Linked DNA regions of Arabidopsis thaliana. The protein of the gene in region 1 interacts with the protein of each later gene in a pairwise test. Each region holds a gene or a part of one and is shown in the gene's direction. Other genes may lie near its edges.

Evidence for each region.
Region 2: the proteins of AT5G42190 (region 1) and FKF1 interact in binary tests that used the Arabidopsis thaliana proteins (3 or more experiments, as listed by UniProt).

What each region holds. Positions count from the first base shown.
Region 1 is NC_003076.8:16,850,984-16,859,241, reverse strand, and holds AT5G42190 (E3 ubiquitin ligase SCF complex subunit SKP1/ASK1 family protein), read left to right. Parts: upstream 1-3,500; 5' UTR 3,501-3,725; coding exon 3,726-4,067; intron 4,068-4,573; coding exon 4,574-4,747; 3' UTR 4,748-5,051; downstream 5,052-8,258. Other genes in the region: PER64 (Peroxidase superfamily protein), read right to left, coding at 5,221-5,618, 5,795-5,957, 6,050-6,238, 6,337-6,540; AT5G42170 (SGNH hydrolase-type esterase superfamily protein), read right to left, coding at 7,535-7,728.
Region 2 is NC_003070.9:25,505,349-25,513,386, forward strand, and holds FKF1 (flavin-binding, kelch repeat, f box 1), read left to right. Parts: upstream 1-3,290; 5' UTR 3,291-3,388; coding exon 3,389-3,660; intron 3,661-3,761; coding exon 3,762-5,349; 3' UTR 5,350-5,559; downstream 5,560-8,038. Other genes in the region: MAP70-1 (microtubule-associated proteins 70-1), read right to left, coding at 6,044-6,083, 6,175-6,362, 6,444-6,974, 7,067-7,138, 7,247-7,393, 7,476-7,631, 7,742-7,912, 7,985-8,038. UniProt on the Arabidopsis thaliana protein: Component of an E3 ubiquitin ligase complex that plays a central role in blue light-dependent circadian cycles.

The sequences.
Region 1 (8,258 bases):
GTTTATGAAGCTGAGTATGCCGGATTCTGTTAACAATAGTGTTCATTTCGTTTTTGTTAACATCATTTGGTTTTTGTTTCGACTAATTTTTATATGAATTTATTTATTTTTTTCTTTTTTTGAATCTGTAATTGTAAATGGTATTAAGCCTAGTCCAAGCAAAATTTACCAGTTAAATAGACAGCGATATAGGTGTTGAGTTAATCAGGGCAAACTCTTGTACTTAAAGATGTACTTATATGTCTGACTAGTATGATGAGAGCCATACAATGTACATGATAGGTGGTGTCCTAGTGCATGTGACGTTATGTAAAACAAAACTAGGATTTTATAAAACCCACATTTTTTTATGGTGTTCAATCAATTCTTGTGGTTTCGTTATTTAATTACTTGAACGTCATAATGTCTTGGTAAAACACCCTTTTAATGTTTTCCTATCTGTCACGTGTTTGTTCATATTACGTACGTTGGATTCACACGAAACACATTTCTACACCAGTTTCATACAACCTTTATATGAAAATATGTTTTTACTTAGACTACTACTCAGAATCTTAATTAGTCCATACAGAAGAATACAAAGCAGAAAAAATATCATTAAGAACCTCAGAAAATAGAGCAACATAAAAGCTCTATAATACTACTATTGAAGCTCTTTCATTTTGGAAGAAAATAAATTAGCCAACAGAATATAGAACAACATGGCACAACACTTTTCTCGACATTTAAGTTCTGAAAAAGCAATGCTAATTATTAATTTAACCTGCTTAACTTTTTTCCAACAAAATTATAAATTCTGTTTCTTTTAATTATTAATGAAGAAATCATGAGCTATCGTATTATACAATGTTTGCGGTTGTATGGCCATTTGTGTTTTGGGCCGGTAAAATGGAATTTCAAAGCTAGGGTCGTTGATTTATTTGCTTTTCTGTGACCGGTGAAATGGAATTTCAAAATTTCTCTTTACCTTACTTTGAGACTAAAAGTATTTTCTTCTTCTATGCTTACAAAAAGTACTTTAGTTTGAGAGCTGTATAAAATAATAGCAATCATGTTCTAGGAATTAGAGGCGACGGAGAAGTCCAATCCACTAAAAAGTTAAAGAAGATAGCACTTGAAGATAATGCGTTAAAGTAGTTATTTATTTTCTAACAAATAAATTTCAATTAAATAGGCGCTATATTTACTAGACTGGTTTACATTAATTTACATTAATATAAAGAACAATATTAATTTACATTATGTATTTTTTATATTATTTACATTAATTTATTACTAAAATGTTTTTATTTTCGTTTCTAGAATCTTTTCTACATTCAAAATATACAACAGAAATTAAATTAAAAAGTATAATTACAGAAGCATCAATGCATAAAATCTCTAGAGCTGATTATGTATAAAATAATCGACGGTACTAAAAAATTGCAACAACTGATTTTTTCGAGAAAAAAAATTGACTGCTATAAAATTGACCATGTATTCAGTTATTCAGACCTGGTCTTGTCTTGACTCCTTCAGCATAGCTGAGAAAATCCATGTTTACGGTCTAGTGAACAATATTTGGGTTCACTTATTAGGTAAATCTTTTTATTTATTTCCTCTTATCTTAAGTTTTTAACCAATCTGAATTCGTTATTTAATAAAAGAAATTTAAACTCATTTAATTATAAAATTTAAATCATAATCATTTTTTTATAAACTCAAACTCATATATAATTTAGTCTAATTATAAAATCTAAATCCTAATTTTTTTATTTCAGCCAATCAGAATATACTACCTAATAAAAAGTTAAAAAAACTTATTTAATTATAAATAAAAAATCTAAATTCTAAATAAAAAGTAAAAAAAAATTAAATTCTAACCACTTTTTAAAAAATTCAAACCAAAATGTAATCTCGTTTAATTATAAAATCTAACCCTAGTTCTTCTTTGTACACCCAATTCGATATTTAAACTCTTTTAATTGCAAACTCTAAATCTCTAACCGTTCTTTCTAAACCCAAACCGATATTTAACATTGTTTAATTATAAAATCTAAATCCATTTATAAAACCAAACAGACGTTCAATCTCGTTTAGTTATAAAATCTAAAACTGTTTATAACTCAAATCGATATTTAATAGTAAAATCTAAACTTCAATCCTTTCTTATAAACCCAAAACTATATAAAATTTTGTTCTTGTGGCAAATTAGATTTTATAATAAAATAAATTTAATTTATTTATTAGGTATAAATTCTAATTTAATGGAATAAAAAGGTGAATAAAGGGGTGAATCTAAATATATTTTTTATTGGCCCATATTTTTTACTAGGATAATGGCCGATTATGCTTTGGTGAAAATTTAGATAACGCAAGTTAGATTTTTCTCACTTTATTTAATAAGATAAGATTTTAGCGGGGATGAAATTTTTACAAGCGAATCCCTCAATATTTCACTTATGTTCGTGGATGATAGCTTCTTTTTTGTAAAACGACAAAAAAAACAATGCGTCATTGGATTTGGAATACTAAAGAACTATGAAGAGGTTTTTGGTCATGAGTTGACAACTCGATGATGGACAAACTTATGGCAATCTTCGAAATCACTAATATAGGGGACATGAACAACTACTTGAGATTATCGAAAAGTTTAGGAGGATCTAAGACAAAAAAAATTTACTCTTTTAGAAAATATTTACATAATAGAATAAATGGTTGGTTTACAAAATTCTTATCTAAAGATGGCAAAGAAGTATTGATTAAATCAGTACCAGATGCATTGCTTACTTATGTATTGTCTTGTTTTAGATTACCAAAATCAGTAACATCAAAACTTAGGAATGTAGTAACGAAATTTTGGTAGAGTTCCAATGGACGAACAAAACGTTTACAGTGGAAGGCATGAGATAAATTTTGTCATAGTGCCTCTCTGCTCTCCCTCTCCTCCTCCGGGTGCCTCTCTGCTTGCTACTTGGTTCCGTCTCTTCAGTTAGGTCCTCCTCTGCGGTTCAGGTTTCCTTATGAGTTTTTTGAGTCCTTGGGTCGTTCCCTCTTCGTTCTTTTGGTTTTTGGGCCTGCTATTTTTAAGTTTCAGCTTCTTTGGTTGTTTTGGGCTTTGCTCTTGTTGTCGGGCCTGCGCGCCTTGGATTTGAGCTTTTGGATGTGTATGTTTTCGAGCCTGTGTGCTTATGTTTGGACACTTGTCTTATAACTTGTTGTTTGTTTTAATGGAAATTTAAAATTAAAAAAAAATAAGAAAAATAAAATAAAAAATAAATAAGTTTTGTCGTAACGGTGGACTTGGTTTCTAGAATGTGGATGATTTTAATACAACTTAATTAGCAAAACAACTGCCGCAATTGATTATGATTCTTAACTCTTTATTTGCAAAGATGTTCAAAGAAAAATATTACCGGAAATCAAATCACATGAATCCAATTAAATTATACACACCATCCTACAAATAGAGGAGTTTAGTATCTGTTCAACTACTGATTAATCAAAAGTTGATGAAAAGAGTTGAATTAATTTTCAGGTGTTTTCCTTTGAAAGAAAAAAACAGAGAAAATGTTTTAAAATGAAAATTTATAGGTAAAAAAAGTCAATTGGGAATCGTTAGATCTCACTGGTTCAATGTGTGAGCCGGGCTTTAAAAACATTTTGATTTAACCCATACACACATCTCTCTGTTCCACGATTCTCTTCCTCAGCCTCCACGTCGTCTCTAAACTCAGCAAAAACCAATGTCGACGGTGAGAAAAATCACTCTTAAGAGTTCGGATGGCGAAAACTTCGAAATTGACGAAGCGGTGGCGCTAGAGTCACAAACCATCAAACATATGATTGAAGATGACTGTACCGATAATGGTATCCCTCTCCCTAATGTCACAAGCAAGATCCTTTCGAAGGTGATTGAGTACTGTAAGAGACATGTCGAAGCTGCTGAGAAATCCGAAACCACGGCCGATGCTGCTGCTGCTACTACTACCACCACCGTCGCGTCGGGTTCTAGTGATGAAGATCTCAAGACTTGGGATTCTGAGTTTATCAAAGTTGATCAGGGCACTCTCTTCGATCTTATCCTGGTTTGTCAAACTTATTTTTAATTGCTTTGGTTTTCAAAGTTTGCGATTTCATTTCTAGGGTTTGAGATCTTGATTTCTGTTTGAGATCTAATTTTAGGGTTCAGGTTTTGTTTAGATTGCCAATTTCACAGTTTAAACTATGATCATGTCTGATTGAAATATATGGTCTGATAGAGAAAAAAGTGTCAAGAGATTTCTTTTGAGTTTGTTGGATTTGTTTATAGCTGAAGACCACTTTACATCCAAACTCATGTTTTTTATGTTCTGTCTTAAACATTGGATAATGTTTAATTTCTTTGGGATTTGCTTGAATCTAGATTTGTTTTTCTGAGAAACCTTTTGGATGCTAACATGACATGTTTTGTTCTGTCTGAAACGAGTGATAAAGTTTATTTTCTTTGGAATCGTAGTTCAATATGTTTGATTTGCTTGAACAATAAAGTTCCATTTTTATCTGAAAGTTGAAGAGCTTGAATCTAAGTTGGTTTCCCTGTGACACCTTTTAGGCTGCTAACTACTTGAATATCAAGGGACTGTTGGACTTGACTTGCCAGACAGTGGCTGATATGATTAAAGGAAAAACCCCAGAAGAAATCCGTAAGACGTTCAATATCAAGAACGACTTCACGCCAGAGGAAGAAGAAGAGGTTCGCCGTGAGAATCAGTGGGCGTTTGAATGAAGAAAAATGAAGACCTAGGTTGCTGTCATGTCCTCGACCCATTTGTGTCTCCCTGTCTTATCTTCTTTCTTTGACTATATATCCATTCTCTTCTACGTGATGGTCCAGCTAAGACAGTGGGTCGGATGTTAATGTTATGTTATGTATGTCAAATTAAAGACTTAACTACGAAACATATTGAAGTTGTTGCTCAAAAGAGAGTGTTGGTCTTCTATTGTTTCGTCAATCATTTAGATAGGTTGTGAACACAAGTGATAAGATTTGTCTGCATGTTCTTAGAAAGAGAAAAGATCTTATTACTTGTAAATAAATGCCTATACAAGCACACACGAGAGATTGATAGATAATTCTGATACAAGAACCTCTGCCTTAATCTTTAGAAAGGCCCATTCACAAGTAATCAATGTGACGAAAGAAAACGAAAGACATAAAAATGTAGTAGTAACGTGATGTTGGAAGCGTAGATTGAGATTCTAGCGAACCCTTCTGCAGTTAAGTCTGACCTCATTGCCATTCCCACTGATACTACTCATCTTGATCATCGATTTCACAAAAGCCCTCTCGAACTCTTCGTTGGAATTTGCATATTTGGCCACGAGTTTCTTAGTAGAGGGTACTGCAAGAAGCGATTCGTCGGATGAGAATAGTGACTTGCCTTGGATAAGCATCTTGTAGTAGATATTGTCGAATGACGTCACGGTTCCATCCATGTTCGATCCAGCATTCTTCACCGTGTTATGGGCCGGGCACACTCCCTCCAACCTGGCTGCGAATGAGGGGTTTAGTGTTGGGTCAACCTCCTTTTGTGTGTTGAATTTATGGAGCCTATTCTGGAACGATGAACAGTGGGCGAATCCTAGTGTATGACCTCCTGCCATTTCATTCAACATTCGGAATTTAAACCATTATAAGCATTGGAACTATATTTGTCTTTTGCCAATTATTTTTAAAATTTAGATTTATGTTGCATCTTTTAGCATAGTTTAAGAAAAAGATTTTAGAAATCTTTGTAAATATATTTTAAGTGAGTGCGAGAATGTTTAATACCAGAGAGAGCAACAAGATCATGCATAGAGAGGCCTCTTTGGCCAAAATTTTGACGCAATTGAGAAATGTTGAAAGTAGGAGCTGGTAGTTGTCTTGTTTCTATTGCCTTTGATATTCTTCCATCTTTTCTCCCTTTTGGCACTGCCCATGTAGGCCCTCCTGACTATAGTAACATCCACAAATAATATTTTAGGTGGATCATTAGAATCATCAAATAAAAGTAGTACTTGGAATTTGAGATGGAGAGAGACTTACGAGAGCGACAGCATCTCTTGCCGCAAGTGAAAGAATGTCGGCGCAAGAGACGATACCGGGACATTGTTCTTCTAATGCCTTCTTTGCATTGTCAATCACATAAAATGCATGGAGTGAGATGTTAGGAGGTCCATCTTTCTCTGCTTTGTTCTTCCCCTTAGAGTCTAAGAGAACTGAGCCATCACATCCCTTTAATGATCAAAAGTATCACCAACAACATTATTTAGAGTATAAAGACATAAAAAGACCGAAAGATGACAACAATGTTGTGTGTAAGAAGTTGTTACTCTGACGAAACAGTCGTGGAAATGCATCCTCAAAAGCGCAGCAGGGACAGTTTGGTCGTTTGACATGGCTTTCTTGACTGCATTGGTTACAATGTGGTCGGCTTGTGGACAAGTATGGTCGTAGTAGTGAGGACTGAGTGCTTGGACATCGAAAGAAACTACAAAAATGACTATGACAAGGAGATTGAGCATGTGTGCATTCATTTTAACAAACTTTTCGAAATTTTAATTTCTTGAGTGAAAAGAAATGTATTTAGAATGAATTTGTTGGGTTGCTTATGTGATGAAGAATGGATCAAGGTTTTATAGGCATAGTTAAAGGAGTTTAAATTTTGGGAGATGGAGTTGTTAGTGAGATGATAAGGTTGTTAAGCAAATTAGGTCATGTAGACAAGACTCGTTTAATTTTGGTTGTGGTGGAGTAGAGTTGAAGACTTAATAATTTAGATTCCTGAAAATGACAGAACAAAACAAAGGAAAAAAGTTCACTAGAGATTTATTGGTTAATAGATATTAACGAGTTTTTAACGAGTTTTGTCATTTGATAACTCTAAACAACCAATTTGGTTGCAGTGGAGTAGAGTTAAAGCATTGCTAATATTTGATTCCTGAAAATGACTGAAAACAAAGGAAACAAATTGACTAGAGCAATAATATGTGTGGTATGAGAGATTTATTAATTGTTCACGTACAAATTAACGAATTTTTATGAAAGTTGATGGATCTTGACATTTGATATTACAATTCCAAACAACCAAGTTTGCTTTTAAACATATTCACACAAATAATAAGTATGTTTTTAATAATATTAAAACAACCTACCAAATACTGTCGAAACATAAAAACCAAAAAAACATGATTGATTTTTTTTTTTTGAGAGAAAAGCGAAAGCCACGGTGTCTCAAACGGTATGTCGTTGACTTTGTTGTCGACATGTACAATTGTGTAGTGGATGCCTTCTATTTCTTCGTCTTGTTCTCGTACGTATGTTTTATTCTTTTTTTTAGCCATTACGAAACTAGTCTAATCCAATATAACCTGTTTTTTTAATTGATAAATCATTTTTAACAAACTATATTGAATCTATTTAATCTAAATGAACATTTAAATACTATTTCTTATTATTGAAAAAATATTTTTTTTTTTTACGTTTTTACATAGGAAAAAATATTACTTAGTATATTATAAAAATATAGAATTAGACTAGTTTCGTAATGTAATTTCCTAACAACTTATCAACTATTATTTGGTAAGCTTTTTCTGTTGGATGGTAACTATCCCAAAAAATATACGAAGATGAATTTTTGCATGTAAAAGGATTGATTTTGTTGCATAAAAATAGTACTTCGACTAATCCGGTTCCACAGCATCCTCTGTTTGATACTTCAAATCCTATAATAAAAAAGAAAGAAGTTAAAGATAGTAACTAGTAGGTAATAAAGTTAGTTTTTGGTACTAATTATCGATGGCCAAGATATTGGAGGTATGCGAGTCTAGATCCAACATTTAAATTCATGGATCCATAAAACAATATCTTGAATGACTAAATATCCATGCATATTTAGATCAATTCTAAGTGTATAATATATTTTATAAATATGCATTAAGTTATATTAGTATTATGGTTATTATGACTTTCGTTCTTATTCTCTATAACTAAGTGATGACCCGTGCTATTGTACGAGGTAAGTTAATTTGTTTGTAGTTCCCATTGGTTTGAAAATTTCCATCTAAACACTTTATTATATACATATAATAATTTGTGACGTCTCACATATAATAATTTGCAAAGTCTCTTATTAAATTTAACTGATGTGGGACCAAAACAAAATCCTCAAAATACTAATTATCATTTGTACTTGCGTATCACAACATAAATGATCAACTATTTTACTTTACGGTTATAACTTGATGAAATTATT
Region 2 (8,038 bases), on another chromosome or scaffold:
TTTGTGTGATTATTAATTATAAGGTTTTTTTATAATGTCTTTTACGTTATTCAGTTCGAATAAAACTCATTTATATTTTTACTTTTTGAACCAAAATGATCCTTTCATGTTCATTTACACACAAAAATTCATTAAAACTAATCAATAATGTAAAATTTGTCCATACGAAATTGATGTGTAATATTCATACATTTGGTAATGTCGACTTAGTTAGGTAATTGATCGAAATACACTTATTATCTAGATAGTTGTCGACCTATCGTATAGAATAATGTGTTTGTATAAGTTGTAATGCCAACAAAATAGTGAGTGGTCCCGTGGCACGAAAAAAAATGTAGGTGGTCCACAATATATTTTTAGTTGACTATATTAGTCTAGTAAACATATACAAAACTAATGTATGTAAGTAAAAGCATAAATAAAGGAGAATAAGTATGCATCATATTTGATTAAACAAATACTGAAAGTGTTGCTGTTGATAAAAATAAAAATAAAATACTGAAAGTGATAAACAACCATTTTGGTTTTAAACAGTATTTTGCTCTAATTATAAAGTAAAAACATATATTTATTTCCATTTGACTCCTATATAACAATAAACATGTGAATGCCAGATTAGACTAAAGAAGCTGTGAGGATCATTATACATCCTAGCTAGCCTCATAGGCCTACTACACTTATTATTGAGGGTCAACTTTGGGTTGTTTGATTAACAAAATGTATGGCATCTTTTTAAACAAATATATATTTACATTCACTTATCTTCTTACAATGTGATTTGTCCCTTTTAAGGAATCTTGTCCCCCATAAATCATTTGGGACAAAAGAATAAATGAAAAATTTCTCACATTTAAACAAAAATGTTAACACTAACATATATTTAAAATCATATTCTTATTACATTATTTATTTTTAAAATCATACTATTTAAAAATGTTTTTCAATATAAATATATTCTTATTACATTATTTATTAATAAAACCATACTACTTTTTTTTCTTTTAGTATATGATCTCTTTAGTTTTTACTTTTTTGTCTTTTATGTTTTGTTTAATTAATAATCTCGAGTTTTATACTAAACTGAAAGTGCACATGAATATGATATGTATTAAGTTGGATATTGAATCCCACAAAATCAAAAGATTTGATGAACTAAAAAAGTTCACGCAGCAAATTTGTTTTTCATTTGCTGAAGTTTTTATTGACTAATTAATTAGTTAACTAAAACCTGAAAGAAAAGAAAAAACGGAGGTAATAGTTTAGGGTACTGACGTGTGAGCTTACGCAATTTTCGAATTAGGAAGTGAGCTAGATTCTAGGGCTGTGATACGTGAATGTATATACTTTCTGTTTCGTGTTCAAGTCATATTTTAGTTTTTGTTTTGGTAAAAGAAGTCATATTTTAGCTGTGAAATTACAAATATATTTTTGTGATAACATTATAAATATATATTAACATGTGGAACCCTAATTCTCATTAAACTGCTCACGTTAAAGCACATGCAGTACACCAACCATTTAAATTGTTTTGCTTAGCACGATTTTGTTTCATTCATGATTCAAAACTTCAATTTTTCTTCGTCTGTTTTTATATAAATATTCGAAACATTTATAGAATTTTTTTGTTTTTAATTTGTAATTTGGATGTGGTCAAAAATCATACTTGGATCTATATTGATGTTATACATTTCACGACTTCAAAAGAAACTATTGCTCGCTCTATTTCTGTCATTAATTAACTCATAACTTAACTTACACAAAAATTGAGATGATGACAATCATGAAACTATTTAAAAAGAAAAAGACCAGACCGGCCAATGTTAGACTAGGATTAGTGGCTATTATTCTAGTGACAGGGGTGCGATGAGTACCATTGTTTTTGAACATGTCTCTTTGTCTTCGCGATGAACCAAGCGGTCCCAAAAGTATTGGCAATAGATAGAGCCTCAATACCTTTAATTAATTATAAATTTCCCTGAATTTATATTCTCCAAAAATGAATGTTATTTTTTTCATCAATCAAAAAAAGTTGTTGGGTTTTAGTCCACCAAAAAGATGTTTGAGTTTCGATTGTTTGTGTTCAAAAAATCAAATTACATAACAAAAGCCAGAACTTTTTTTTATATCAAAAAGTAAAGAAAAAATAAGAAAAACAAAAAATCATAACTTTTTTTATTGAGGTGATAAGGAATGTAATTTATTGACGTCTTGTGAACCCGATATAAATCTAAAACTTGAAGTAGCTAATGAAACATAACAGGAAATGTTGGAGTGGTATAGAAATTACCTTTAATTTACCTTTAATTGTATAGAAATTAAAGATAAAATAAAAAGATAAATCTATGAAACAATTATTTTGTCTATATACCAAAAGGGTTAGTTTTCTTGTGTTTAGTTTTTTGGAATGGAAATATATTATTTAAATTGGAATATTTTTTTGGTTGAACACAATTGGAATATGTAAAGGTTGATTTCATGTACTTGAAAGATTATGGTCAGAAGCCTTCTCACACGGTTAAGAAAAATAAAAAAAATATGTTGTCTATTTATTTGGTTCAAATTAAGTTTTTGTGTGGGCTTTGTGGGCTAGCTATTTAGTATGGGCCTAGATCTGGACTTCTGTAAATCTTAGGACTACACTTAACTCTATTACTCTCATAGTATGCCACTATGTGGGGTCTATGGCCACTATTGCTATCAATTATTACATATTTACATTACTTACGTACATTTTCGTATTTCTAATGTAATTTTTTTGTTTAGAAACTTATATAAGTGGGAAGTTTTAGAGCTAAATCTGAATTTTCTCAACTGGGGAGAAAAACTCCCTTGTCTCATCATCCCATTCCACTCACCACGAAAACTCAATTTGTTACATTAACATTATGTGTAACCTTTTCGAGAATCGCGTTTCACAAAAATATCTATTATTTGACCAGAGTCAACGGTTACGTGAATCTGATTCCAATTGCGTTCCAACTTCCAAGTTCCAACACTTCACAAACAAAAACAAATATCTTCCCTCAAATCTCAATCTTCAAAAAAAAAACAAATATCTTTCACAAAATATGATGACGTGGAAGAAGCGAGTGGTTGAGTAGGCTAGATATTTTCTCGGAATATCCCCTGGTGACGTGTTACAATCGAACAAGAGTAGACTTACTTTTTTTAAACATACCCCTGATATATCCTTTTAATTACGAAAATTGCCACCAACTCCTGGCGCGAAGACTTCTTGCCTCGTCTTAAATATAAAGGGTATATTCGTCAATAAGTCACCAACTAAGCCAAGATATTTTAAAAGTTTAAACAGACACAAAAAGAAATAAAATATCATAAGGCTGAGAGCTTATCAGAGAAGAAGAAGATATTTCTGTAAGCGAGAAAAATGGCGAGAGAACATGCGATCGGAGAAGCCACCGGAAAACGAAAGAAACGCGGCAGAGTTGAAGAAGCAGAAGAATACTGTAACGATGGAATCGAAGAACAAGTAGAGGATGAGAAGCTTCCGTTAGAGGTTGGGATGTTCTATTACCCAATGACTCCGCCTTCGTTCATTGTTTCCGATGCTCTGGAGCCAGATTTTCCTTTGATCTATGTCAACAGAGTCTTCGAAGTCTTCACTGGCTATCGTGCCGATGAAGTTCTTGGTCGTAACTGGTATATTAATTTCTCCGATTTCCCCCTTTTTGAATTGGAGTGTGTTGTTATCAATTCTCTTGAATAATGCTGCATTTGTGGTTGAATCTGCTTGGTTTCAGTCGATTCCTACAGTACAGAGATCCTCGAGCTCAAAGGCGTCACCCATTGGTTGATCCTGTGGTTGTATCTGAGATTAGGAGATGTCTTGAAGAAGGTATTGAATTCCAAGGAGAGCTTCTTAATTTCAGAAAAGATGGTACTCCTTTGGTTAACAGACTACGGCTTGCTCCAATACGTGACGATGATGGAACCATTACACACGTAATTGGGATACAGGTCTTCTCTGAAACGACTATAGACCTTGACCGTGTCTCGTATCCTGTGTTCAAACATAAACAACAGCTTGATCAAACATCTGAGTGCTTGTTTCCAAGTGGAAGCCCGAGGTTTAAGGAGCATCATGAAGATTTCTGTGGGATATTGCAGCTATCTGATGAAGTTTTGGCTCATAACATCTTATCTCGGTTAACTCCAAGGGACGTTGCTTCAATTGGTTCTGCTTGCAGGAGGTTGAGGCAGTTGACGAAGAACGAGAGTGTGAGGAAGATGGTATGTCAGAATGCGTGGGGAAAAGAGATAACTGGAACACTGGAGATTATGACTAAGAAGCTAAGATGGGGTCGGTTAGCTAGAGAGCTCACCACTCTTGAAGCTGTGTGTTGGCGTAAATTTACTGTTGGAGGGATTGTACAACCTTCCCGCTGCAATTTCAGCGCGTGTGCTGTTGGGAACCGGCTTGTGCTATTTGGTGGGGAAGGGGTTAACATGCAGCCATTGGATGATACTTTTGTTCTCAATCTTGATGCAGAGTGTCCTGAGTGGCAGCGTGTGAGGGTGACGTCGTCGCCTCCAGGACGTTGGGGACACACACTCTCGTGTCTCAACGGGTCGTGGTTGGTAGTCTTTGGAGGGTGTGGAAGACAAGGATTGCTTAATGATGTATTTGTGCTTGATCTAGACGCTAAGCATCCCACATGGAAGGAAGTAGCAGGAGGAACTCCTCCATTGCCAAGATCTTGGCACAGCTCGTGCACCATTGAGGGCTCTAAACTGGTTGTCTCAGGTGGCTGCACAGACGCTGGAGTGCTTCTCAGCGACACCTTCTTGTTGGATCTGACAACAGATAAACCGACATGGAAAGAGATCCCGACATCATGGGCTCCTCCTTCTAGACTTGGGCATTCTTTATCGGTCTTTGGTCGGACTAAAATCCTAATGTTTGGCGGGCTTGCAAATAGTGGTCATCTAAAGCTAAGGTCAGGGGAGGCATACACTATAGACTTGGAGGATGAAGAACCAAGATGGAGAGAGCTTGAGTGTAGCGCATTCCCAGGCGTGGTTGTACCGCCTCCAAGACTAGACCATGTGGCTGTGAGCATGCCGTGTGGTAGGGTCATCATCTTTGGAGGGTCGATTGCAGGGCTTCACTCTCCTTCGCAACTGTTTCTAATAGATCCTGCAGAAGAGAAACCGTCATGGAGGATCCTGAATGTCCCCGGGAAACCGCCTAAGTTAGCTTGGGGACATAGCACATGCGTTGTTGGAGGAACTAGAGTATTGGTCCTTGGTGGTCACACTGGTGAGGAATGGATACTCAATGAATTACATGAACTCTGCTTGGCTAGCCGGCAAGACTCGGATCTGTAAAGACTCTTTCCTTCTTCATTTGGTTTGTGGTTTTGTATCTGTCACATTCCAAACTCTTACGACATGTAGAAGAGATATATCAGAAGCTAGAAGCGTGTGTACATAGTAAATTAGTGATTGTTGTACGCTTTAGATAGATATTCATGTAATGTTAATGGTTTTGCTGTATGAAGATCCTTCTATAATATACTTCTCCTTGTTACTCGACCATGCAGGATTTGATTTTTGACGTACCATCCAAAAGAGAGAAGACACTGAGTTTGGACATATATATATATATCCACAAACCCAAAAGTAGAAATAATCACACAACACCTCAAGTAAATAGAATGAAGAAACCGAAAAAGTAAAGTACACAAACTTCAATACAGAGCTAAAACCTATACAGCCAAACAAACTACTTCCATAGGACAGAAAATGTTATGCGAAAATGTCAAACATCTCTCCCTCCACCCTTTTTTCTTGTCGTCATCGCTAAGCAGTGTAAGCCGATCTAAGTCAGAAAGCATACTTATCTTTTTCATCCTTAAGTTCTATGGTAATTCAATAAATCACAGAGGATGTAAAGGAAAGCAAGAGAAATAAAAAAGAGATATAAAGGTTAAAAAGAGCTTAAAAATCACACCAGCCTATAACGGTTTTACTTGTTTAAACTGATACGACCACAAGAACTAGTCACATCTCCTCCCTCATCTCATTGTGTACTCCTTGTTAACCCACTTCGGCCAGCAGCTCTGCAGAATATCGAACACCAAGCTTAGTCTGATTGCTAAAATCGCAATTTGATCATAAAAATAGACAAAGATATTCAACATTGTTAGATACCTTGCAGCAAGAATCTGGGCGGTGTTGGATGAGGGTTTGGTGTTTGAAGACCTTTTAGCTCTATTATCCTGATCTTTATCCACACGCATTGCAGCAACCTCTTTCTCCATTGCAGCCACTTCCCTTCTCATCTTCTTTGCTTCAACTTCCATTGCCTTTGTTAAAGTTTCAACCTTTTTTGCTAACATCTACAAGAAAAATATCAAGACTTCCATTACAAACACGTCTTTTTAACAACATTTTATATGGTACATTCAGAGAGATTTTACCTCTATGGCATCATCCTTGTCTTTGAGGCTTTGATCCTTTTCATGCGAAGATTTTCTCAAGGCGACTACTTCCTTCTGTAGTAAATCATACAAAACCCCTGGGACATTGTCTTCGGTTGCTGGTGCAGGGAGTTCACTTGGTGGCTTCTCTTCTGAATCTTCTTTCCAGGTATTAGGTGACTCTGATTCTTTGGTTTCATCACAAGCCTTGTTGAACGAATAATTCCCAGGTCCTTTTAAGAGTGCTTTGCCTCTATCCAATGATCTTGTGCCTCCATCGAATGACTTGGATGTTCCTTTAGCATTCTTCAATACCGAGGTGGAATTAGAAGTAAAGGAATTTCTCATCGGAGTTTTCTTTGACAAAAAGCCATTTGACGCAAACTTTTGTAAATTATCTGATCCACCGATTGACTGCCTGCGAGACGGTCCATTACTCATGCTTCTTCCCTCAGGTGTGTTCCTTATGCTGATGCTTGATGTGCCTCTCAGTGTCTCTTCAAGCACTCTAAGTCGTAGTTGAAACTTGTCCTAGAAATTGTATAAGGAAATAGTTTACTAATTAGTTCAGTTAAACAAGAACATAAATTCGACAATGACTAATGCATAAATACGATGAATACTTTTAGCTGTGCTTCAGATTTCGCAGCTCGATCTGATATGGCAAGCTTATCGCGGAGTTGCTGCATTTCTCCCTGCAAGAAGAGAGTTAAAGAGTGAGAATGTAAGGTTGTGTGCCTTTGTCACTTCAAAGAATCTGGATTCCACAAATTTAGGAAAAGGGCAATCATATCAAAGTAAACCTGTAGAAACCTTCTTTCTTCAAGCCATTGCTTCACAGGCATCACTTTATCATTACCATCTTTCCATTCATTTGCAACCACTGTCGCAACTCTGTTTGCTGTAACCTTTGCACGCGCAAGTTCCCGGTCAAGAGTTTTTCGTTCTTCCTGCAAAAGTAGAGCAAGAAATATTCCTTCATCAGTTGAGTAAAGATTCTATACTTCTTTTTTCGGAAATGTATTAACTTACGTTCATCTCTTGAAACTTCCGCTGGTAATCCCTCACGGCATTTGCAGCAGCACCACCAGCAAGAACGGCCTCTTCCAGTTCCCGTACAGTCTGAGTAAGCTTTTCCACCTCCGCAACCTTTTGCCTGTGCATTCGGTCTAGAATTTTGTTTTCTTCCTAAAGAATCAAACAGATAATAGAAATTATTAACAAACAATGAGTGATAAGTAGAAGGCATCCAAAGCCTGACTAACTAGATACAAAGAAGATGATAATGAGTACAGCACCTGACAGATTTCTATTTGTTTCATCAACTCTTGGTTCTTATTCTGAAGATCATCAACTAAAGCAGCTTTCGCCAGAGCAGTTTCAACAGTCCTCTCAGCATCAAGTAAAGCCGCTTCTTTTGATTTAGTGAGACGATCCAAAGCTCTGTTATCTTCTTGAAGCTTCCCAATCTTCACAGAAACATCATAAATTAATATCCGATTTGCAAGTAGAAATTTGGACTTCAAATGAGTAAAACATACCTCAGAGCGAGCTAGCTTAAGCTCAGCTTCCAATGGAGCTAGAATGGCTTCAAT